Drosophila melanogaster: one gene and its partners. The main gene of each other region encodes a partner of the protein of the gene in region 4 in a complex. Each region holds a gene or a part of one and is shown on either strand. Other genes may lie near its edges. The genes, in order: wda, Ada1-1, Saf6 and Spt7.

Region 1 (6,404 bases), on a different chromosome or scaffold from region 4:
CCGCCGCGTAGTGTGCAGCGCAAGCAAGAGCAATATGGCACCAAGGGCAAGCTAATTGCCACTCCAGCCGCCCGAGTGGCCGCCTTGTCCAGCGTGACTCCAAATGCAGCCAAGGTGGGCGATGCCCGACTACGTGTGCTGGCCGCTGCCAGGGACACGGCCCAAGTGGGTAAGTATTGTAATGATTGTGGTTAAGAATTAAATTTACCTATAATTTTTATTGAAAAGGGGCTGGACCAGCGCGATCGAAGAAGGCACCTCTAATGGCGAAGACCTTGCAGTTTATGCGCGGACGTCTCAAACGATAGATGCGCTTACTCATTATAGCTACAATCTTATACTCAACTTCTTCAGCGACAACTTAAGCAGCAGCAGTAGCAGCAACCTCGATCTATTAGGCATTCACGGTGGGATTACCTTCCAACTTTATTGGCAAAGACTTTCAGGTCTGAATAAAGTGACATTGTGATACTAGACCTTCTACTTCCCAGTGCGCTGTGGAATCAGACTGCTGCTGTCGGCATGCGTAGCATATGCATGCTATTTATTATTTATTCATGTTCTGCCCTCTTTTATTACGCTGTATAAGTCACTATATTTAAGCCAACCGGATAAAGATAAAGCTTTTGTTGCATCCCGCTGGGTCGTAGACAAGCTCATTTACATAAGTTATGATATTTGATTATAGTTGTTCAATTCATTGATTGCATGTAACTTACGATCAGAAGGCTGATCACTCCAACATTATTTAAAAATTAAGTTCAATGTTCTTTGTTCAAAAGGGCTGTGCGTATGTCCAAAATCATAGAGGTTCCAAGCTGTATATAAATGTATTTACACAATCCTAAACCTATATGAAACTACCTAAATTATTGAAGAACAGTAAAATGTCTCTTAATGCATCGCTAATTAAATTCAACCAAAAAATTCTATATTACCTTTAGATTTATTTAGTTTTGCACATTTTTAGGTATTGGGTAAAATGTTAATATATTAAAAAAAATCACTTCAACAATTGAAATTCGATTCGAATGCTCGTCTTATTTTTAATAGTTACACATTTTTCAACTTTTGTGGAAATTGGCCACTCATTACTTATGCCATGACTTCGTTTTGAAAGACATTCTTTAGCTGTGACCAGTAGACGATGCAGGTAAAGGCATTACACTGTAACCAACTCGTTTTATTCCACAAGAAAGCTACCAGGATTGTTAAATCAAAAGAATTATTTATATAAAGAATTGTTTCACACGATAGTAACAATAATATACAACTTATTACAAAATAAATTATTTTCAAACATAAGTCGTCACTAGAAAGTCTAAATTCGGGCTGAACTTTCAACCGTCTTCTTTAAGTGCCGATGCAGTAGAGCGTCTTGCTGGTCCCGTAAAAAACATCGACCAAGCGCTGGCAGGAACTATTGACAGTAAGCACACGATTCGTTGTAGCTGATGATGAGCTTCCAGCACTACTGTTGTCACTGTGGAGCAACCAAAATAAATCATCATTACCAATATTAACAAATTGCTCCGTTTCCATTCCACAAATATAACTAACCTCATGGGCGATAGTTTCTTGATGTCCCACAATCGCAAGGTACCATCGCTGCACGCTGTGGCCAGGTGCCTATTGTGCGTGCTCCAGGAAAGAGAACTAATGCTCGCCGAGTGATCCTTGAGCTCAGCCAGCTGTGCTCCGGCGGCCAAGTCGAATATACGCACCTTCGTTTCCTCTCCGGCGGCAGCCAACATCTTTCCATCTGGGCTAAACGCCAGCTGGGTCACCGCCTGACGGCAGTCGGCAAAGACACGCATCAATTTTCCGCTGGTTGCACACCACAGGCGAACGGAGTGATCTGCCGATCCTGTGGCTATGTAGTTGCCATTCGGATGGAACGCAACGCACTGTCAGAAAAAAAAAATATATATAACTAAAAGTTCAAAGACATTTTTGGTTAAACCAACCTCAACATCCTGTGTATGCCCGGCATAAATTATGAGCGCATGTTCCTTCTCTAGCGACCAGAGGCGCGCACTCAAATCCTTGGAACCCGTTACCACGTATTGGCCCACTGGACTTTCGTCCAAGCACCAAATTGGGTAGTTGTGACTTCTGTATATGGCGGCGCAATGCAGGTTGTGGGCACGCCAGCACCGCATGGTTGCGTCTTTGGACACACTATACATGAGTGGGTAGTGGGCGGAGAAGCGCACATCGGTGACTCCTTTTGTGTGACCTCGCAGCTGAAATCCGCCGTATTCGTTGCTAATTAGAAAAAAAAAACTTTAGTTGATTAAAAATTGAAAAATAAAACCAATACTAAACCTGGAAGATGAACTTACTAGGAGTTATCAGCATATTTGCAATGTCGCGCCCTGTTGCGTTCCCGTCTCTCCTCCTCAGAGCACTTGACATCCTCATCGCTGCTGTCCTCATCCGTCTCCTCCTCTTGATTCGCGCAATTGTTCAGCTCCCAGGGACACCGCTTTTGCGGATAGCGTCTGTAGAAGCTCTTGCCGCGGCAGTAGCTCTGGTTTAACTGCCACAGCTGTACGGCAGAATTGTCGAACCCGGCTAACATGTGGCACTCACTGGGATCCAGATGGGCGGAGGTGAGGCCCCGAGAACGTTCACTGATTCTGAGAAATCGCGGCAACTCCACCTGAGACTTGAGTATCTGTTCAGTGGCCGATTTAAGGGTGTCCAAGCAGGCGTCTATATTCAGTTGTAATTTACTAAGCTCTGCAGATTCATCCGTTTCTACCTCCTGTTTGATGTCTGTTTCTAGCATAATGTTTGGCTCCTCAGCGGGTCGTTTTCGGTTCGACTTTTCAGTGAGGGATTTGCTTGGTCTTATGTCTCCGCGGGTATTAAGGGTTACTGCTGGTTTGGAAACAACATCGTCCTCTCCATCCTCACCTTCCAGGTCATCCGTCAAGCCAAGCAGGTGATCCTCACTAAAGGCGCGCTGCTCATTCTCCACTATATGGACATGCAACCAGGTGTAGAGTAGGTTCATAATTAAAACGTGGCCCCGTCGTTGGAGATAAGCGCATATCCTATTAACAACTACGGCTGTAGTATGTAGTTCGTATTTCGAAGATCGAAAATGGGCCACTGTGTCATCGGACTCTGCTGCCTCCAGCCGTGTGTAGCCACTCAGGGTTTGCACCAGGCGCATAAAGTAGTCCAGTTCCGTGTCCCCAGTGTCCTGGGCTTCCTTTGCGAAGCGTATGTTAAAAGTGGACTCATTGGCCGTAGTGGAGCATCCGTTGATCTTGGTAGGTGGTGGTGCATCGTACATATCCACGGGGGCCACCAAGTGAGCATATTTGCGCAACAACTCCACAGCGCCACGCGGTTCGCGAGCCTTGAGCAGATCCAGATAGAAGTGGCACAGCATGGGTCCATAAAAGCGCTTCATTTCCAGACGCAGCGGTTCGGCCTGGGCCTCCACGAACTGCGAAAACCGACCAAATTGCTGGTCCACAGTGTGCTGGTTGTTGGTGATAACCTGGACATTTGAAAAGGTGAAGCTATTGCCACCGTGCAAATCCGTATCCAGCATTTTGTTGACAGCAAACTGCTGTTTGTTTTGCAGCAGCAAAAAATCCGACCGCCGAAATCGTTCGTTGCTCTACGGGTTTGAATATTTGAACACTCTGAGGAATTGTATATTTGAAGATTATTCACTTACCACGTAGTTTTTCTGCTTCAGCAGGAGTCCCACGGCGCAGCGTAGCAAATCGTTTTTGGAGGAGGTCTTTTTGCTGCTCGCGCTCGACTTGTTGTTATTGCTGTTGCTGTAGACGGGCGATGCAGCATGTGCGTGGTTGCTGGCGCTGGGCAGGCTCATCGTTGCGTGTTAGCCTCGCTTTGTTCCGTATCCTGATCCCGTCCTGCAGTGCGTCCGATATGCGTTCGATTATAGTGCTGACAGCGGAGATGGGTTGTCCTATCGATGTGCATTCATCGATTTTAAGCGGCTGCAACAGCTGTTCTTTCAAAATTGTTTTCGTCAGTGATGGCTATTTGGCTTCTCTTTTATAACAATATTGATATTGAAATATTTTAATTTTAAATTTATTTTTACATTTTTAACTTATATTTATATTATATTTTATTTATATTAACTAGCTTTTTATTTTTAGCTCTATTATATTCTCTATTCTTAGCTAGTTTATTTGGCTATTGTCACCACTGAAGAAAGTCAGCTGTTTGTGTTGTTGGATTCCCGAGCGCTCTTGACAATTTCTTGTATTTTCGCTGCGGTATCTCAGTTCGAGTTTTTACGTGATATAAAACAGTACCTGGTCTTCAAAAAACGAGCCATTATGGGCACCACGACAAAGTTTGTGAACGAGTTCTGTGATATTATCGATTCCTATGGCGGGCGAGATAAGGTAACATAGAAGAGCCGCACAGCCGAGTAAATTTCCAATTAATTGAAAACACACCTGTTTGTTTACGTTTGAACCGAGTGTTTTTCCCAATTCGTATGCGCAAATTTAAAAAAATGCATCGTGGCATTTTGACTGGTTTCTATTTCCTTTTTGGACTGGTCCATTGAGGGGCTCGCTTGAAATCGAAACTGAACCAACAGGTTTCCATGTTGTTGCTGCATCGATGTTGGCATTGGTCTTTGGGTCTCGAACAAGGAAGCCACAGCAGTTTGGACCTTGCCTTACTTCTTTCTGATTCGCAATGGATTTTGTATTTCGCTTTTCGCTTATCAGTCGCAGTTCGGCGGCGATCGAGTCAAGATAATGCTCAATACTATAGCCGGCAAACCTTTAAGCCGCTACCAGATAAAGCGGATAATTCGTTATGAACGAAAGGTTTGTTTGGACTGCCGCCCATCAGGAGACACGCGATCCACACATTTCCACCATCGCGAGTTTATATACCCCTACAAGGGGTGTATACAGTGCAGACAAAGAGGGAATCTTGTATAGTGTATCTCTATTTTAATAGAAAAATCGAACCTTGAATACGATAAAATATTGTTCAAAGTATTTTAGATTTATTAATTAGAACAAATAATTTGTTATACTTGATAACCATTTGAAAATATAATATAATATATTATGTGGCTGTAAACAGCGAATGGGGTGGTCACGAACTTTGGAAATACTATAGGATATTTACATAAATTAGTCGTATAGCGACATTAGTATTCCTCCGAATTGCATAACTAATTCATTGATGGCAAAGCAAGCAAACTGAACCATTAATGGGTAAACAATGAAACCACCCACAACTCATTCCGGCCAGGACGGACGACCAGGAGCACTCCACTGGCGGCCATCACACGAGATGATTGTGGCATTCGTTGTATTCTTTTTATCGCTGATAGTATTTTATCTGTTTGTGACAACCAAGCAATTCCACAAATTGCAGGGCTGACTGGCGATTGGGGTCAGGTAGAGGCAAAGGTAAACAGCGATGCCAACTCTCGTGATAGAGCAAACACACGGCTTAACGAATTGCGCAGAACAATTATTACATATATGAAATTAAATACCTATTTCAGGTGATGAAGGCATTGTGCTACAGTGCCAAACTGGTGGCTGGCTACCATGCCAAGCGGAATCCGGAACTAGCCAAGCGATACGCCACCGCCAGCTCAAGGATCTCAGGTGCGAGAGCCACACTGCGTCTCATCGACGACATACCCATGATCCAATATGCTTTGGAGTATGGCTTGGGCGAGAATGAGCCCGATCGCGTCATGCAAGTGCTGGGAGTGACGGCCAACATTGTGGATTTGCTCTACTATCCCATCGAGAAGGTGTGCTGGCTGGCCGAGCACAAGATTGTGGATGTCAAGAATGCGGATAACTGGGACAATGTCAACTCCATATTCTGGGTGCTTTCGGTGTACCTGAACCTCATGAGGTACAGAAGAATTATTCGAATCGTCAGCTTTGAATTTTCAAATTAAATTGCATCTTCTAGGACAATGCGGAATTTTTCACTGAATCAGGAAAAGCTGAACCGAACGAATAATATAAACGAGTAAGTGGTCGTCAGCCGAAAACATCCAATAAAAGCTAACAAACCTTCCAAATCCATAGATTGGATGTGAAAACGTTGACCAAGCACCGCCTGGAGATGGTGTCCATCGTTCGGATCTCACTCGACTTTGTGCACGCCGTCAGCACGCTGCCGAAAGGATATTTGTGGGGCGGCAAGCTGTCCACCCTGCAGGTGGGTGCTATTGGCACCTTATCCGCTGGCCTGGGCATCTACCAGATCTTTGCCAAGAGAAGACTGAACAAGTAGTCGGTCCGCCGTTGTATTTGCAATCCGTGTACTCGTATTTGTTGAACAGAATTTTAAGCTAGTCGGTAATCGTTTTTGTACGTTGAGTTTTTTGTACGGCACTCGAAAGTGTGTTT
Region 2 (4,503 bases), on a different chromosome or scaffold from region 4:
TCTGCCGGTTCTTTCAACAAGGCTCCTGCCGCTATGGCGCAAAGTGCAACAACGAGCATTTCGATGTTAAGTGAGTACATTGATATTAAAACTATGCAGATGAACTAATAACTTAATTATTTTAGGCAATATCTCAAAGCCGACATGGAATCCAGCCTCAATGGCAAGATGTGGCCTTTGTCCGCCTACGGACCCTTTAAGGACAAAGCGAATTTCCCCAACTTTATTCAGGACCAATCCTTCGAGGAGGTGCGGTTCATGTGTTACGAGGCCAAACGACAAAACCAATTCGAACAGTTCAGCCAACAGTTTAACCGTGAGGTCCTAGAGGCTAACAACAAGATGAAGACCATGCTTCAGATGTCGCCGCAGGTCCTGGAAATGATGATCAAGATCCACGAGACGCCGGAGGGCGGCACTGTGTCGGCTGCCCCTCAGCAGTCCAGTAATCCCTTCGCTGCAGCAGCTCCGGCTGCCGCCAATACATCTGCATCCATTTTTGGAAAGCCCACGCTGAGTGCGGGAAATATATTTGGGAATGCCACAAGCCAAGCCAGCAACACCAATAGCATTTTCGGCGGAACGATTAGCAATGCCAATGCAAGGAATAGCATTTTTGGTGTAGGAGCTGCGGCAACAGGTGCACAAAGTGTCTTTGGACAGCCACAGCAGCAACAGCTGCAGCCTGCTGCACAAGCTTTCCAAGGGGGCAACATTTTCGCCCAGGCGCAGGTTCAGGTGCAAGCTCAGCCAGTGAATCCTAATCCTTTCGGTGGTTTCCAACAGCAGCAGCAGCAACCGCAGTCGACGGGAATCTTTGGCCAAGCCGCAAGCCAAAATATGGGCGGAATGTTTACTCAGGCTTCTCAGCAACTACAACAGCAGCAGCAGGCAGCTGCCTCCGGATTATTTGCTCAAGCAGCAGCATCTGCATTCCCTAATCAACAACAGATGCAGCAGCAGCAACAGATGCAGCAGCAGCAACAGATGCAACAGCAACAAATGCATCAGCAGCAGCAGATGCAATAGCAACAAATGCAGCAGCAACAACAATTTCAAATGCAACAGCAACAGCAAATGATGCAGCAGCAGCAGCAGCAGCAAGCTCAACCGACCAACGAAATCCAGTCCTCAGTTTACAGTCGCATGGAGGATCTCAACGAGCAGGAAATCGAAGCATTCAAGGCGGATCAATTTCTACCAGGTGCCTTGCCATTCAAACCGCCTCCACGGAATCTTTGCTGAACCAAACACTTAATGGTACACTAGCGTATAATGTATATATTTTTACAGAAGCTGATATAATAAAATAATTAGAACTTATAAGCTAATGCATCATCATATTGAGTCGTTCCATGTTTATGGAGTAGACGGCATGCGAGCCTATCAGGTTGCGATCCCGTAAGGCCAGTTGGCAGTCCTTGAGGGTGATTACTGTGCGTTCGGTGGGTTGGCTGAAAGAAACAAAACCTAAGTTTGTGTTTCACATGAAAATCTCATTATTATTCAGGAGCTTACACTTCTTCGCAGGCGGAGAGGAAGGTCACATCGTCGTTCTGTCGCCGCATAAAGTTGGCCGTATTCAGTTCCTTGTCCAGTTCCAGCGGCGTGTCGTCGACCTTCTGCCGGGTGACGGTGTTGCGCAGCGAAGGATCACGCAACGGAGCACCTACATCGTAGTAAAAGTTTCCCTCGCCGCTGGTCTTGTAGTGCTTTCGTTTCTTGATGATTGCCGATAGTAGATCCTTGAGCAGAACTTGCACGGCCATGGCAACGTACTCGGCGACATTGTCGTCCACGGAGACAAGTCCGATTTCCCAGGCACCGATCAGAAATCGTCCCATAATGAATCCCGCGTCGGGCAGGAAAAGTTCCTGCGCGCAGTACCGCTGCGACTGAAGCTGTTGCTGTTGCTGGTCCGACGGAATACCGATCGTGGTTGGCGGACGAATGATTTGCATGTTGTCCTCGGCTACAAAGTCCAGGACGTCGCTGAGCTCAAAATTAAGGCGTTCGGCGAAGGTGCGGCAACTTCTTTTGCGCCGTTTGCTTCGGTTGCCACTACTGCTGCTGGTCTGGACGGCCGGAGGATTCTCCAGGGGAGCAAAGGCGTCGATCTTGTTGAGCAGGGCGAGCAGGAACTGATTGTGCAGGTGCAGTTTGTCAGGTGTTAGGATTTTCCGCGACTCCGCATCGAATTCCTCCTTAGTCCAACGGCTCCGAAACCAATTCTTCATGTTGGCCCGGTAACGCTCCCAGTTGTCGCCCAGAGCCACCACTAGCGCCTCCTTGGTGGCCAGAACTCTGTCGGTAAGCATTTTAGTATTGGGAATAACAACTAAACAGGAAAATCCAACTGTTTGCGAATTGCTATATAAACAAATGAATGCAGCTGATTCGAGTGACCGTTCAAAGAACGGCTGAAAATACCAGATACATTTGAGATAAAAACCGTTATTTTTGAAGAACCCTTTAAAAAAATATTGGTTTTAATCTTTAGTGTTCACAGTTTTTATTGTGTACAAGTTAGTTAGTTAAAATATAAACATTAAAGATAGAGCCCACGCCATTCACACAACATAAGATGATAATATTTGCGAAGCTATTTGATCATTAAAAAAGTAATAGAATAGAATAAATATCTTGGTTAATGTTAAAAAATTTAACATAATTTAACATAAATTGTCAATACAATGAGTATTGTATATAAATGCTACGCATAAGAACATACTTAATATTGAAGGTAAACATTACACTGAAAATAACTATGGTTACATAAATATGGTATCGGATTTAGAAGGATAAGGAAAATTCTTTTAGCCTAGAAACACTCATCCTAATTGACGCGATCCCATCGCCACACGGTGCTGTCGTCGCACACGCAAACTAAAATGGAACCGTCTTTGGAGAAGGAAGTCTGTCGGATGGTGGAGTTGCTTTTGGGATGAACCAGCTGGCTACACTTTGTTAAATTGGGATCATTGCAGTCCAATTCCCAGACAAATGTTGTGCCCAGTTGATTGCCCAAGGCCAGAATCTTTTGCCAGGCGTTGAAGGCGAAGCGTACGAACCAGATTTCCGTAGAAATTGGTCAGATAGGGGAGCATAGCGTCCAATACACGTGGGTCCATTGGAGTGGTGGCCTGGGCATCCAGGTAAAGTGGTCTACCCTCGGTCTGTTCGTTCTTTATGTTGAATCGCACCTGTCTCTCCCGGAATTCTACGAACGAATACGATTTTGGTAAGCGGTAACTGTGCATCTTGGAGGATCCGCTTACCTTTGGATGTGGCGGCTGGTTTAGCCGCTGTCCTGGAGGAGGTGGCCTCGTGTCTAACCACATTGGCTAATGCATTCGTCGCCCGGGAGCGGAGGACCTGCGCCTGGATGCGTCCCAGCACTTTTTGCATTCTGATGGAATCCTAGAAATTCTGGTGTTAAAATTCGTTATCACGGATTTCACAATCAGTGGGACCGTATTCGGCGGCACGAGATATACCAAAGGACTCCGGAATTCACTTTAAAATTATCTGATTCGATTATGCAGAAGCAAGTTTCTGAATTTCTTTGAACATATGAAAAATGAATAGCATCTGTGCAAGAAACCAATATTTTTCAGATATATTCGCACTTAATGTATAATTTACAAGGAACTATATTTTCAAAAACCAGTTTTCATCTTAAATATGTTTGCTTACAAAATTATCTTAATCATTCAGCGAACTTAAGTTACGAATTCACGAAATTGCGCGCATAGGCACGGTATATTTTTCTCAGTGAGCCATAAAATACTCAAAGAATACTCAATACGCAAAGTAAGACAATTATAAACAAAAGTACAAAAGTTGAAGCAGTTTTGAAATAATAAATATAGGAAATAGGCAAAAATTAAAATCAAATTTAAATATGGTTGTCTGCCGGTTCTTTCAACAAGGCTCCTGCCGCTATGGCGCAAAGTGCAACAACGAGCATTTCGATGTTAAGTGAGTACATTGATATTAAAACTATGCAGATGAACTAATAACTTAATTATTTTAGGCAATATCTCAAAGCCGACATGGAATCCAGCCTCAATGGCAAGATGTGGCCTTTGTCCGCCTACGGACCCTTTAAGGACAAAGCGAATTTCCCCAACTTTATTCAGGACCAATCCTTCGAGGAGGTGCGGTTCATGTGTTACGAGGCCAAACGACAAAACCAATTCGAACAGTTCAGCCAACAGTTTAACCGTGAGGTCCTAGAGGCTAACAACAAGATGAAGACCATGCTTCAGATGTCGCCGCAGGTCCTGGAAATGATGATCAAGATCCACGAGACGCCGGAGGGCGGCACTGTGTCGGCTGCCCCTCAGCAGTCCAGTAATCCCTTCGCTGCAGCAGCTCCGGCTGCCGCCAATACATCTGCATCCATTTTTGGAAAGCCCACGCTGAGTGCGGGAAATATATTTGGGAATGCCACAAGCCAAGCCAGCAACACCAATAGCATTTTCGGCGGAACGATTAGCA
Region 3 (6,278 bases), on a different chromosome or scaffold from region 4:
AATTTAAGAATTATTGAGATTGAACTGTCTTAGTTTTATGTGTCATTGTTCGAGTGCCTCACTTTGTCTGGAGGGATAACAGAAAGTGTAAGATTGTCTGACCGACTTGTCCTAGGATTAACCTGCTCTTAAATGCTGCACTTTGTGGAGGATCAAGCCAAGCTGTTGCCCAGCTCCATCAAGGATTTGCAGGCGAGGCGGCATTTCCGCATCCCAGTTGGTCCGATTCTCGCACTGGGGCTTCTGCAATTGCCCGTCTGCATGGTGTACAACCTGGTGATGGCCATCACCACGGACTTCCAGTCCACCACGTATACCACCTGTAATGCCTTCAACATCTTTCCCTCCACATCGGCGGCTGCCAAGTCTCAGCACAAAGTGTGGGCTCTGGCTTGCTACCTGGAGTTCCCATTTCTCATTGCCAGTGCATGGCTGCAGTTCCGATTCTATCGGAGGAATCTGCGCAGGCCGGTCCGAGGTTTCGGCTGCCTGATGGCCATCATTATGGCTGTCAGTAGTTCCAGCGTACTGCTATGGGGCACCTTCCCCCAAGAGGATGGCGACTCATTGCTGCACATAACCATCGCCTTGTCGCTATTCGTATCGTGTGCCATTTACATGGCAGGTTCCTTTGTGTGCGCCAAGTACTATATGAGCGATAGGATTGGGCAGCTGCATGAGGAATTCTCCTTGCGGTTGAAGAGCGGTCTGGTGCTCACCTACTACGTCTGGGTGGTGGTCATGTGGATTTTTTACTTTATACACCAGAAGTTTTGCTTTCCCTTGGGTGAGTAGAACCTAACCGAATGGAAGGATGTCTACAATTCTAATCCCCGGATCCTCTGCAGCCTACTCCGTATTCGGTATGGGCGAGTTCATCTCCTGTGAGTGCTTCTTTATCTATCTATGCACGGTCTACTTTGACTTCTACCACGTCTACATATGTTACGACCAACGTTTGGGTTTCTTCCTCAGCGAGATGTAAACAGTTCCCAATTCCTTATAAAATGTATTAAACAAAAACAAGCAAAAAACATAAAAGGAATGCTTAACGTTACGTCTCGTAGATGCGCACCAGGTCGTCCAGACTGATGGGATAGTGGGTGACCGGGCAGGTGCCGTGCTCCTTCATGTGGCTAACGATGCACTTCCAGCAAAAGACGTAGCCGGAAACGGAGCAGGCAGTGGGCGTCTGGATGGACAGCAGGCAGACTGGGCACTCTCCCCGCTGGGGAAGGCTCTGCTGCACTTCCTTGGGCAGCTGCTTTCTCGGCATCGCTTCGGGATTTATCAGAGTTCCACCCACTTTCCGCCGCTGGTCGTTGGAGTACCACCACTGGACGAACTGCAGGAAGAAGGCCAAGACCTCCAGCATCTTTAGGACCACGTAGGTCCACTGATCCTCTTTGGGAGGTTCGCTGGGATAGCGAAGGGTCAGCCCCAACAATCTGAAGATGGGCGAGTGGTTTGAGGCGTACTTTACGAGGTAAAAGAATGTGTGCGCCGCCTTGGCGGCATGGAAAGCATGGAATGCGCTTAGAAGGCGTTGCTCCCAGGGACTGGTGTCCTCGTGCCTGGTGATCCTGGTCCTTAGCTTCCGCTCCACGTAAGGCATGAAGGTTAGCAGTGTGGCAGAGGCGAACTGCTGCCTGCGGTTCAGCAGATCCCCAGTGGTTGTGACCGTCCTTTGCAATCCGTAAAAGCTCTCACCGAAAGAGGAGGCCCTCTTGCGCAGATACAGGTACTGCAGCAGCCAAGTCAGCAATGGCGACAGCTCCTCCTGAATCCTCAAACTCCCCCATAGTTTAAAGTCCAGGCGTAGTCCAAAGTAGTCGAATATCTTGCTCAGTGCCGGGTAAATCAGGTTGTCCAGCGTCTCTGACGCTGAAATTTCGAAGATCGACGGCACATTTTGAAGGTTCTGGCGCACATTTGCCGCTTCTGCCATTGTGTTTATAGCATTTAAATAAATGGAATTAAATTCGAATACCAATTATGTTGTTATTCTTATCAGTACTGGTGTTATCGGGCTTGGCTTGAAAACAGTCGAGTGCTCATCAATATATCGATAAGTCGTTGGCACCATCGATAGTTGGGTTAATAATCTGGCAAGATTTGTTTATTTTGTGGTGCAGCTTCGTTGTTTATTTACCAACTGTTGAAAATATATACATTTATGAATTATACAAAACCAAGAAGATGAAAACCTCTGGCGCCAGCAATACTGACGAGCTGAACAAGTCATCGCACAGCAAAGTCAGCAAAAAGTCCACTAAGTCGCGATCTAAGTCGGCGAAATTGGAGTTGACTGGAAAGAATTCCCTGTCGGCATCCGCATCATCCTCCATCGCATCCGCAGTGAGCGGGGGCGTTGCAGTGGGCAGCCTGCCGGCCACGCCCACTCACCTAAACATGGTGACAACGCCCACCACGCCAACATCTAGTCTGGGTAACTACAATCTGTTTGACGCCTCATTTGCGGTAGCAGGAAGTGGTGGGCACGGACTTGCAGGCGGCATCGCGGGCGCAGAAGCCTCTGGCAACTCCAGTCGAATGGTAAGGATGCCAATCTCAGGGCCCTCTTATGGTACAAGCTCTCTTTACTGTAGGGTCATCAGAAGAGCTATGCTGGTTTCGATCCGCGCAGCATCAAGATCTTTTGGGAGCAGCACGACCAGACCGATGTGGAACTCTCCCAGGATGTGTGCGCCCGTTTGGCGGAAGATGCCTCCTACAAAGTCTGGGAGCTGATCAATGTAAGTCGACCGTAATACACCTCTTTAATCCCTCTAACCTCTTGATCTCTCAGAATGTCAAAATATACTCGCGCCACTCGGGCGGAGTGGTGACATACGACCTGGTGAACGAAGTGCTAAAAGATGCCGATGTGCCGCCTATGCTGGGTGCGATGGACAGCGACTGGGACCGGATCGACTATGACGGCAGTTTTTACTTTCACTCGGATAAGATCTTCGAGCTGAGCGCGGAGTTTCAGAAGGAAGTCAATCTGTGCACACCTGATGATGCAGACTTTCAGAGCATCTGCCCAGTGGAGGATAAGCACATGGACCAACTAAGACAGTGTGTCCAGAGTCTTGTGACGGCAGCCCTTTTTGCGGACAGCAAATCCCAGACGGCCGCCGTCTGCCATGCTTTTCAGACACCCCTGATGGGATCTATCTACCGAGTGATTGTGAGTAAGATGGTCCAGTTGCTAGCCTTTAAGCAGCAGGACCATTTGAGCCAGCGATGCTGGCGACTGCTCCGAGCATGCAACTACAACGCCACTGCTAATCACAATGCCTGCCGGCCGGAGTACTTCAACCTGGCCGAGGTACTGGTCAGCCAGCTAATGGCACCTTACGAAACTATCAAAGCTCCACACGTCGACCCAGATCCGGGACAAACCACCTCCATCAAAATGGAGTTTGAAGAAGAACTAAAGGTTGAGCCAGACCAGTGCCATAATCCGGAAACCCAGGAAAATCCGGAGGTCATGGGAGTAGAGAAACAGGAGCAAGAACCCCAGATGTTTCCGGGTGAGAGCACCATGGAACACACAATCTACAAGCTGCAATCGGAGGAGGAGGAATTGAATCCTCAGCCGGAGGCGGAACACCTATCCAGCTACTTTGCCTGTCCAGTCGGCAATGGCCTGGTGGACGAGCTGTGTGAAACTATAGGACAGCTGGCATCTCAAAGTGGTTACCTACATGCAGAGTGCCTGTTTTTGATCAAGAGACGCCTAGCGAGATTCTTCGAAGGTCGCCACGTCAGCAGTGAGAGAGGTAAATCATCCTTACAATTTGTTAGCCTGGATCCTTATCTTTGGATTTCTTAATTAAGACTTTAGGTATATCAGTAGAGCAGTGCGCGGTCTCATTGCCCTGGGAGAATATGCCTTTCGTGAGTTTATTCCCTACATCTACAAACTGCGCGTCGAGGAAATCCCGGATAGCCTGTGGCCGGATCTGGCTCCGGCTGCCATCTTCCTTGGCGGTCATGATGACGTATACCTGTATGAATGGCTGGAGTACGGATGCGGTGCTGCTCTGCAGCCCTTCTTGGTCCACTATGCGCGTAAGAAACACCCATGTGTTCCATGAAAAGCGGTTAAGTAACTAAAAATCATTGCAGGAGCCTACGAAAAGATGGTAACCAGACGGTATGTGAAGGCCAAACAACCCGCTTACAGAATAGAATCAGTGCCGGGAGTGCGTCGGTTGGAATGGAGTACTCTTGCGGCAGCCATGTGCCACGGAGACGATCCTAGCAAGGCACTCAAACCGAAGCCTACGCTCTGCGAGGCTTTCCCCGACCTTCAGTCACCAAATCTTCAGCTCAACTGCGCGGGCAACATCCGCTTTAAGTTTGCAGGATGCCGCCCGGTGCTGCTGAAGCCGAAGGTTGCGACTGTTCCCCACTCCGAAGACTCGCCTTCGTCGGCAGCGAACGGTGGTGGGGGTGGCGGTGCCAGCTCCGACATCCTGATCGCCAAACGAAAACTCTTTAAGCCCCTGACCAACGTGAGAAAGTGGTCGCCCATCAGTGGCTATCACTACCTAAGGATCTGAAAGGGACTTGGGAAAGTATTATAAGACCTTCTGGAGGTCCAGGAGGACCTGGGGATCTCAATAAAACTCTTCGTTTACTTTAGACTTCCTCTTCGGTCTTCCGAAAGGTGATACAACTTTACTCGTAATACATAAAAACACAGAACTAAAAGGCTTCTTCCTGAGGCGTATGTCCATTTAGTGAGCCCAAAGCGGGCACGGGCATTCCTGCAGCTTTCATCTCCGCCACAATCCGCTTGTTGATAATGTTTCGGATGTTGGCATTCACATCCGGCAGAAGTCCACCTGTTCGAGCTGCGTGCTCAATTCGCTGGACGACGTCGATTTCGCGGCGCGATGATATCAGGTTCGTGACTAGCGCCTTGTCCATGTTGCCCACCCGACCGATCCTGCCACAACGATGGATATAATCGGAGACGTGGAGCGGAAAGTCAAAGTTGACCACATGTCGAGCTCGTGTGGTATCCAGGCCACGACTTCCCACATCGGTGGTGGAAAGGACGTCGCAGTGACCGTTTTGGAACTGCTCGAAGCGGCCAAGACGGATCTTCATCAGCATATCCCCATTCAGATTTAAGCAGTTCACTCCGCTGTTGTTCAGGAAGATGGAAACGAAGTCACTGGTGGTGGACTTGTTGCTGAACACGATAAGAGGGCGACGTTTGGCAAGATCATGCTTCACGAGTGACAGAAGTGTGGCGGGCCGATCGGCCTTCGACAGCCGCAGGAACTTCTGCGTCACATGAGACATCAGTCGGTGCAGGTGCGGACTGACGACCTCACGGATGGTGTCCACGTCTATGACTTTGTGAAGGATCTCTCTGGTGTTCGTGGGCATGGTGGCCGAGGCCAGGATCATCTGGGTGCCAGCATCCTCCTTTTGCACCAAGTGGAACTGTCGAATAAGAAAAAACAAGCTGATTGAAGCCATTCCTTTGGTAATCGCCTAGAATGACTTACGGGAAATCTCCTGAGGAAGTAGGAAAGTTTGTCTGTGAACGTATCATCTAGGAGGGTGTCCGCTTCGTCTAGAACCAGATGACGAACCTGCTCCATGCGGTAGATGCCAGTGGTCACCAGTTTGCTAAGTGCACCCAGAGTGGCGACCAGTATGTCCACCTCCTCGAACTGTGGGTTCATCATAAGCTGCTTGGTATTGCCGCCAAGTAAAGATTGCACTTTGAGATTGGTGCCCTGGGTGAGCTTCTCCGTGACCCCAGCAATCTGCGTGGCTAGTTCTCTGCCGGGAGTGAGGATCAAGACACGGGGGGTGTTGAGTTTTCGTTCGGTGACCACTTCTTTCTGGAGGAGTTTGTCTACGATAGGCAGGAGATATGTAATTGTTTTTCCACACCCAGTTTCAGCGGCAATGAGGCAGTGCTCATTTCCATGGACAACGGGCATTCCCTGTTTTTGGATTCCCGTCAGTAATTTGATGCCCAGCTCGACTCGCAAGTTCTCAAGGAGTTGCGGATGAATCTGCATCCCCGTGCTCTCGAGGAACTCATCGACGGTCTGCATTTCCTGCTGGAGTTCCTCACCTCGCACGCTGGCGTTCAGGATGAAGAAGTCTCCCTTGGATTTGTTGTGCAGCCAGCCCTTGGAGGCCAGCGAAAGACTCCCAAACTTGGCATCCGTCTGCTCGTATTGGGTTAAATCGAACTGGCTTCTTCTGCAGGAGATTAGGGGCTCCCCCTTCTGCTT
Region 4 (4,634 bases):
CACATTAAATCACTTGTTTAGATTCTTTTAAAATTATTAAAAAGTCTGCTAAATGGCCAAATCAAAAATATTATCAATCTCCTATTTGTAATTTCGAATTCCATCATAGCGCTTTTAGAATCTATCGATACTTATCGCTTTGGAAAATGGCAGTTCCAACCATCGTGCACGTTAACGGCACACCTATCGTTTAAAAATTAAATGTAAATAAATAAATATTCAAAGAGCGTACAAAAAATGCCAGTTAAATCAAGGGATAGCGACTCTGATTCCGAGGACGACGCCCAGATGCGCCAGTTCCTGGAGGCGGCGGACACCACGTTGCTCACAAATGCCATGTATCAATCGCAGCCAAAAGAGGAGGCGCATGAAGTAGCCAACGAGGAGCAACCGTTGGCCACTAGGAAGGACGAAGCACAGCCGGTAAAAAGTGAACGCTACGTGGAGGATCAGGACGCGCCTGCCAGCGATCTGCAGATCTCGCAGGAGATGCAAACGCACATTTGGCGCAGACTGAGCGGCATAATCCAGGAGCAAATCGAGTTCTCTCTGGATGTACCCAATGGCGTAGGCAAACAGAAGCCCCCACCCGACAAAGTCAAGCTCGTGTCCAATGCCGATTGCTATTTGATCGCCGATTTGGTGGTGGAAGGTCCTGCAGGTCCGAAAAAGAAACCTAACATAAGGAGACGGACCCCCGAAGAAGACCAATCCGCGCCCGAAGCTCTGGACTCTGTGGTGGTCACTGGCAACTCCATACTGGAAGGCAGGGACCTGCTGGCGTGGGCCCAGAAAAAGACGCGCCACGACAAAGTGTTCCAGTACAGAGCCAGCGATCCGAATGCAACCAAACTTGTGGCCATTGAACCCACCAACGAGTTCACCAAGCGGAGGCGACAAAACAACTGGAACGAGTCGAGGATTAGCAAAAAGATGAGCAATAAACAAAACACGTAATAAAAACTATTTAATTAGTACGTTTCCTTAGAGCTTAACTTAACTTGAGCCTAGAGATCTTAGTCGTTCTATAAAAAGTGTGAAACATTTGATTGCTAGAGATATCTCAGTGTGAGATAATGAAGTTATCCCCGCAATTTTAACAATTACGTTTCAAAAGTGGCGTGAAAGTTGCTAATCGTGGCCCCATTGCCATTTCCATTGCCGCCCGTGCTGCCATTGCCGCTCGTCCCCGTCATGTTGGAGGTATTGGACGATATCTGGCCATCGAGCAGGCCGTACAGCATCTGCTGGGAGCTGACTGTGCCACTGGAGCCCGTGCTACCGCCCAGATCCTGCAGCATATCGCCCATGGCCATGCCGCCTATGCTCTGGCTGCTGCCTGTGGCGCTGTTGTCCAGGATGTTGAGAAAGTCGTGGCCGTTGAACTCGTTGTGCTGCTTCTGCATGCTGCTCTGGCTCTCCTTCATCAGTTTGTCGTACTCCTGCAGTACGCTGTTGAACTCAGCGATCTCCGCGCGATTCCTGGCCAGCACCTTGTGCTTGTAGTAGTTGTGCACCTGGGTGAGCGAGGTGCCCGTTTGGGCGAAATGGGCGCGCTCCAGTGGGACCAGCTGCAGCACCGTGGAATTCTGCAGCCGCGGCTGACTGTCATAGTAGCCGCGATACTCGCCGATAAAGCTGCGCAGGAACTCCTCGGTGGCGTCCGTCAGCAGTTGCACCGCCGACTCGGAACAGTCGGTGAAGCCGGCCAGGCGCAGCATGCCGCACATCACCTTGCGCATCGCCTGGCGGCAAGCAGAGCTGGGGATCTCCGGATATGCCTCCGGATCCCCGCGAGAGTAGGCTGTGTCCACGGTTGGTGTGAACCAAATGGGCTTCTGAAACTTTTGGCTGCCCACCAGTTCGGCTGCGTTCTCCGGCGGAAAGTCCACTTCCGGTATCATTAGGCACGGATTCAAGAGGTAATTGGAACTTCCCTATGAATTCATTGGGTAAATTAGGTAAATACTACGGTTAAACAAGAACCAAGAACTTGCATTTTTGTTGGAGTACGTTTCAATGAGGGACTGCAGCACCTCGGTTTGCTTCATCACCTCGATGGTCTGGGTGACCAGCGCACTCCTCAGCTCCAACTTGTGGCTACATGGAATATATGGTTAGTTTACCGGCTGCGTTAAAGCTTTTCTTTAGATTTATTTACTGCTTTTCTTGCGGTTGCGGATCTCCGCGCTGGCGAATCTCGTCCAGCTTAAGTTTCTTGGCCGCCGTGGGCACGTATTTGTCCGGCGTCAGTTGACCGCCGTCATCCTCTGCGGGCAGCGAGCCCCAGTGCTCTGTTTGCATGTTTATTTCGCTTAAAAACCTACGTACAACATTTACTTAACAATATATTGTTGTTTACTTATCGGGCCCTAAAATAACATGGTTGGTTATCGGGACTATCGATAAGTTTGCTTGCGCTGGGAACGAAATACTCAACTCATTGAACCAAACAGCTGATTGTCGGTAAACATCGGCACGGCCTGCAGCGGCATCTGGCAACGTTGGCCTCGAACGTTTCGTTTTCGATAATCAGAAAGCGCTGTCGTAGCTAAAGTAAATAAAGGTTATGATAAAATAGCAACAATTTGGGAAAAACCCCATACTCAGGACAGCTGGTTCTAACAATCAGGTCGCGCTTGTATTTTTGTGGCTCACGTCACACATACATGTATTCGTTTTTTCGGCCGCTGTGACAAATGGCAACGCCACTGCAGCTGGACAAGCACACAGGCATAAAATGTAATTATTTGTTTTCGTTTCACGAATTTCAAAGGTAAAAACCGATCGCAATACGTGGTGGGCAAGATAACGCAGCGACGCAGACGACGAGTGGGACTGTCCGGCGGATTGGCGGCAGCGGGATACGGCGGATACAACGGCAATAAGATGCACCAGGAGCACATGGACCTGCATGAGCCCGTGGACTTGAACAAGGTGAGTCTTTTCTAATGGGAATCGAATAGGAAGCCCCACTCTACTGCCAAATTTTCCCTCTTCCCTGCAATTCCCTGCTAATGCGGATGTCCATCAGTCCCTGGACGAAATGACGCCGGAGGAGCGAATGCGGTAAGTGAAGTGGCCTTAGAAAATCCTTTAAATCATAACAAATTTTCGGCTATCCAATCGAACAGAGCGCAGCATCAACTGATGGTGGAGAAACATCGCGGCCACGATGCCATGCACTCCGAGATGGTGATCATTCTGTTCGTCACCCTGGTTATTGCCCAGATCATCCTGGTCGAGTGGAAGAAGCGGCACTACAGATCCTACGCTTTCGTCACCCTGCTGGCCATGTGGCTCATTCCGCTGATCATCTCCTGCAGCTTCGGCTGGCTGCGCTTCATAATCATCTGGCTGGTGTTCACCTGCATCACGGCACTGGTTATGCGACGGGCCATCAGCAAGCCCATCCAGGGCACAACGCCTAGGTGAGTCAACGTAGATAAGAACGGCGACCGACGAAGGCCAGATAATAACCCATAAAATCCAATTTCAGGCTGGTCTACAAGTGGTTCTACTTCATCTACAAGCTCAGCTATGGCCTTGGCCTGGTGGGCTATCTGGTGATCATAGCCGCCTTTCTGGGCATGAATTACATGTTCTCACAGCCACCAAACACATGGATGGATGTGGGCCTGATGTTCTGCTTCTACGGCCTGTACATCGGCGTCCTGGGGCGTGATATATCCGAGATATGTTCGGATAAGATGGCGGCAGCTATTGGCGTGAGTTGACCATTGGCCAGATACCCAGTTGGAATCTTCTAACCCTCCCGTTTGTCCCACAGTACTACACACCTCAGGGTATTCCAACACGACATCTTGATCAGAATGTCTGCGCAGTGTGTGGCAATCAGTTGCTGGTCTCGGAGAAGGAAGAGGGCGTCATTGAGAACACCTACAAGTTGTCTTGTAACCACGTATTCCACGAGTTCTGTATACGTGGTTGGTGCATTGTGGGCAAGAAGCAGACGTGTCCCTACTGCAAGGAAAAGGTCGATCTCCAGAAGATGTTCCGCAATCCGTAAGCCATTCAGAGCCATCCGTTTGACTGGCCTACTTAATATTGTTTCTCCTCTAGCTGGGAGAAGCCGCACGTTTTGTACGGTCGCCTGCTGGATTGGATTCGTTGGCTGGTGGCCTGGCAGCCGCTCATCTTTTTCATAGTACAAGGCATCAACTGGATGCTGGGACTGGAGTAGATCCTGATACCGGCACTAGCTTTCCTCGGCGTCTAGTCAAGCACACACACTTCGGATTAAGTCCTGCACATGAAACCACACGGAAAACACGACGATGGAGAAACAACGACAGACCAACCTGGAGGGGCTGCGAAACACCCGCACCACTAGTACCGTCGCCGTTCATTCCCCCGCTCCCCTCCACGACTCCATTACATGAACCTGAACCATGATGACGATGACGGATGAAAGATCTGTAGACGAATGCCATTGCCATCCAATCTGTTTGCGGGTTTCCAGTTCTGTGTGTGGTTTGCTTTTGGGCACCCAAATTTTCCTTTTCCATTGGAGTCTTTAATCGAAACGTAAATGCAATTTTGGATATATGTATCTATATCTATATATTATACGTAGCTATGTATTTATGTACATATGTGTGCCTGTGTGTATG

The links.
Region 1: Spt7 (region 4) and wda share a complex: the UniProt entries of both Drosophila melanogaster proteins name them as parts of the spt-Ada-Gcn5 acetyltransferase (SAGA) complex.
Region 2: Spt7 (region 4) and Ada1-1 share a complex: the UniProt entries of both Drosophila melanogaster proteins name them as parts of the spt-Ada-Gcn5 acetyltransferase (SAGA) complex.
Region 3: Spt7 (region 4) and Saf6 share a complex: the UniProt entries of both Drosophila melanogaster proteins name them as parts of the spt-Ada-Gcn5 acetyltransferase (SAGA) complex.

What each region holds. Positions count from the first base shown.
Region 1 is NT_033777.3:23,254,141-23,260,544, forward strand, and holds wda (will decrease acetylation), read right to left. Parts: upstream 3,948-6,404; 5' UTR 3,860-3,947; coding exon 3,701-3,859; intron 3,641-3,700; coding exon 2,346-3,640; intron 2,269-2,345; coding exon 1,968-2,268; intron 1,908-1,967; coding exon 1,561-1,907; intron 1,484-1,560; coding exon 1,354-1,483; 3' UTR 930-1,353; downstream 1-929. Other genes in the region: EloA (elongin A), read left to right, coding at 1-169, 229-308; Pex11c (peroxin 11c), read left to right, coding at 4,770-4,841, 5,537-5,901, 5,962-6,021, 6,081-6,288. UniProt on the Drosophila melanogaster protein: Component of the transcription regulatory complex SAGA, a multiprotein complex that activates transcription by remodeling chromatin and mediating histone acetylation and deubiquitination. The SAGA complex predominantly acetylates histone H3.
Region 2 is NT_033779.5:11,994,719-11,999,221, reverse strand, and holds Ada1-1 (transcriptional adaptor 1-1), read right to left. Parts: upstream 2,414-4,503; 5' UTR 2,319-2,413; coding exon 1,519-2,318; intron 1,455-1,518; coding exon 1,328-1,454; 3' UTR 1,257-1,327; downstream 1-1,256. Other genes in the region: Qtzl (quetzalcoatl), read right to left, coding at 2,979-3,220, 3,279-3,408; CG18789 (uncharacterized protein), read left to right, coding at 3,905-3,981, 4,037-4,503. UniProt on the Drosophila melanogaster protein: Component of the transcription regulatory complex SAGA, a multiprotein complex that activates transcription by remodeling chromatin and mediating histone acetylation and deubiquitination. The SAGA complex predominantly acetylates histone H3.
Region 3 is NT_033779.5:811,753-818,030, reverse strand, and holds Saf6 (SAGA factor-like TAF6), read left to right. Parts: upstream 1-2,080; 5' UTR 2,081-2,199; coding exon 2,200-2,556; intron 2,557-2,609; coding exon 2,610-2,756; intron 2,757-2,809; coding exon 2,810-3,788; intron 3,789-3,846; coding exon 3,847-4,080; intron 4,081-4,137; coding exon 4,138-4,574; 3' UTR 4,575-4,717; downstream 4,718-6,278. Other genes in the region: CG15880 (uncharacterized protein), read left to right, coding at 133-787, 849-985; Pex12 (peroxin 12), read right to left, coding at 1,055-1,948; Dbp21E2 (DEAD box protein 21E2), read right to left, coding at 4,720-5,469, 5,535-6,278. UniProt on the Drosophila melanogaster protein: Component of the transcription regulatory complex SAGA, a multiprotein complex that activates transcription by remodeling chromatin and mediating histone acetylation and deubiquitination. The SAGA complex predominantly acetylates histone H3.
Region 4 is NC_004354.4:17,848,211-17,852,844, reverse strand, and holds Spt7 (Spt7), read right to left. Parts: upstream 2,386-4,634; 5' UTR 2,305-2,385; coding exon 2,162-2,304; intron 2,101-2,161; coding exon 1,998-2,100; intron 1,938-1,997; coding exon 1,104-1,937; 3' UTR 958-1,103; downstream 1-957. Other genes in the region: CG32554 (uncharacterized protein), read left to right, coding at 238-957; CG15814 (uncharacterized protein), read left to right, coding at 2,890-2,937, 3,035-3,069, 3,135-3,431, 3,500-3,728, 3,791-4,026, 4,084-4,204. UniProt on the Drosophila melanogaster protein: Component of the transcription regulatory complex SAGA, a multiprotein complex that activates transcription by remodeling chromatin and mediating histone acetylation and deubiquitination. The SAGA complex predominantly acetylates histone H3.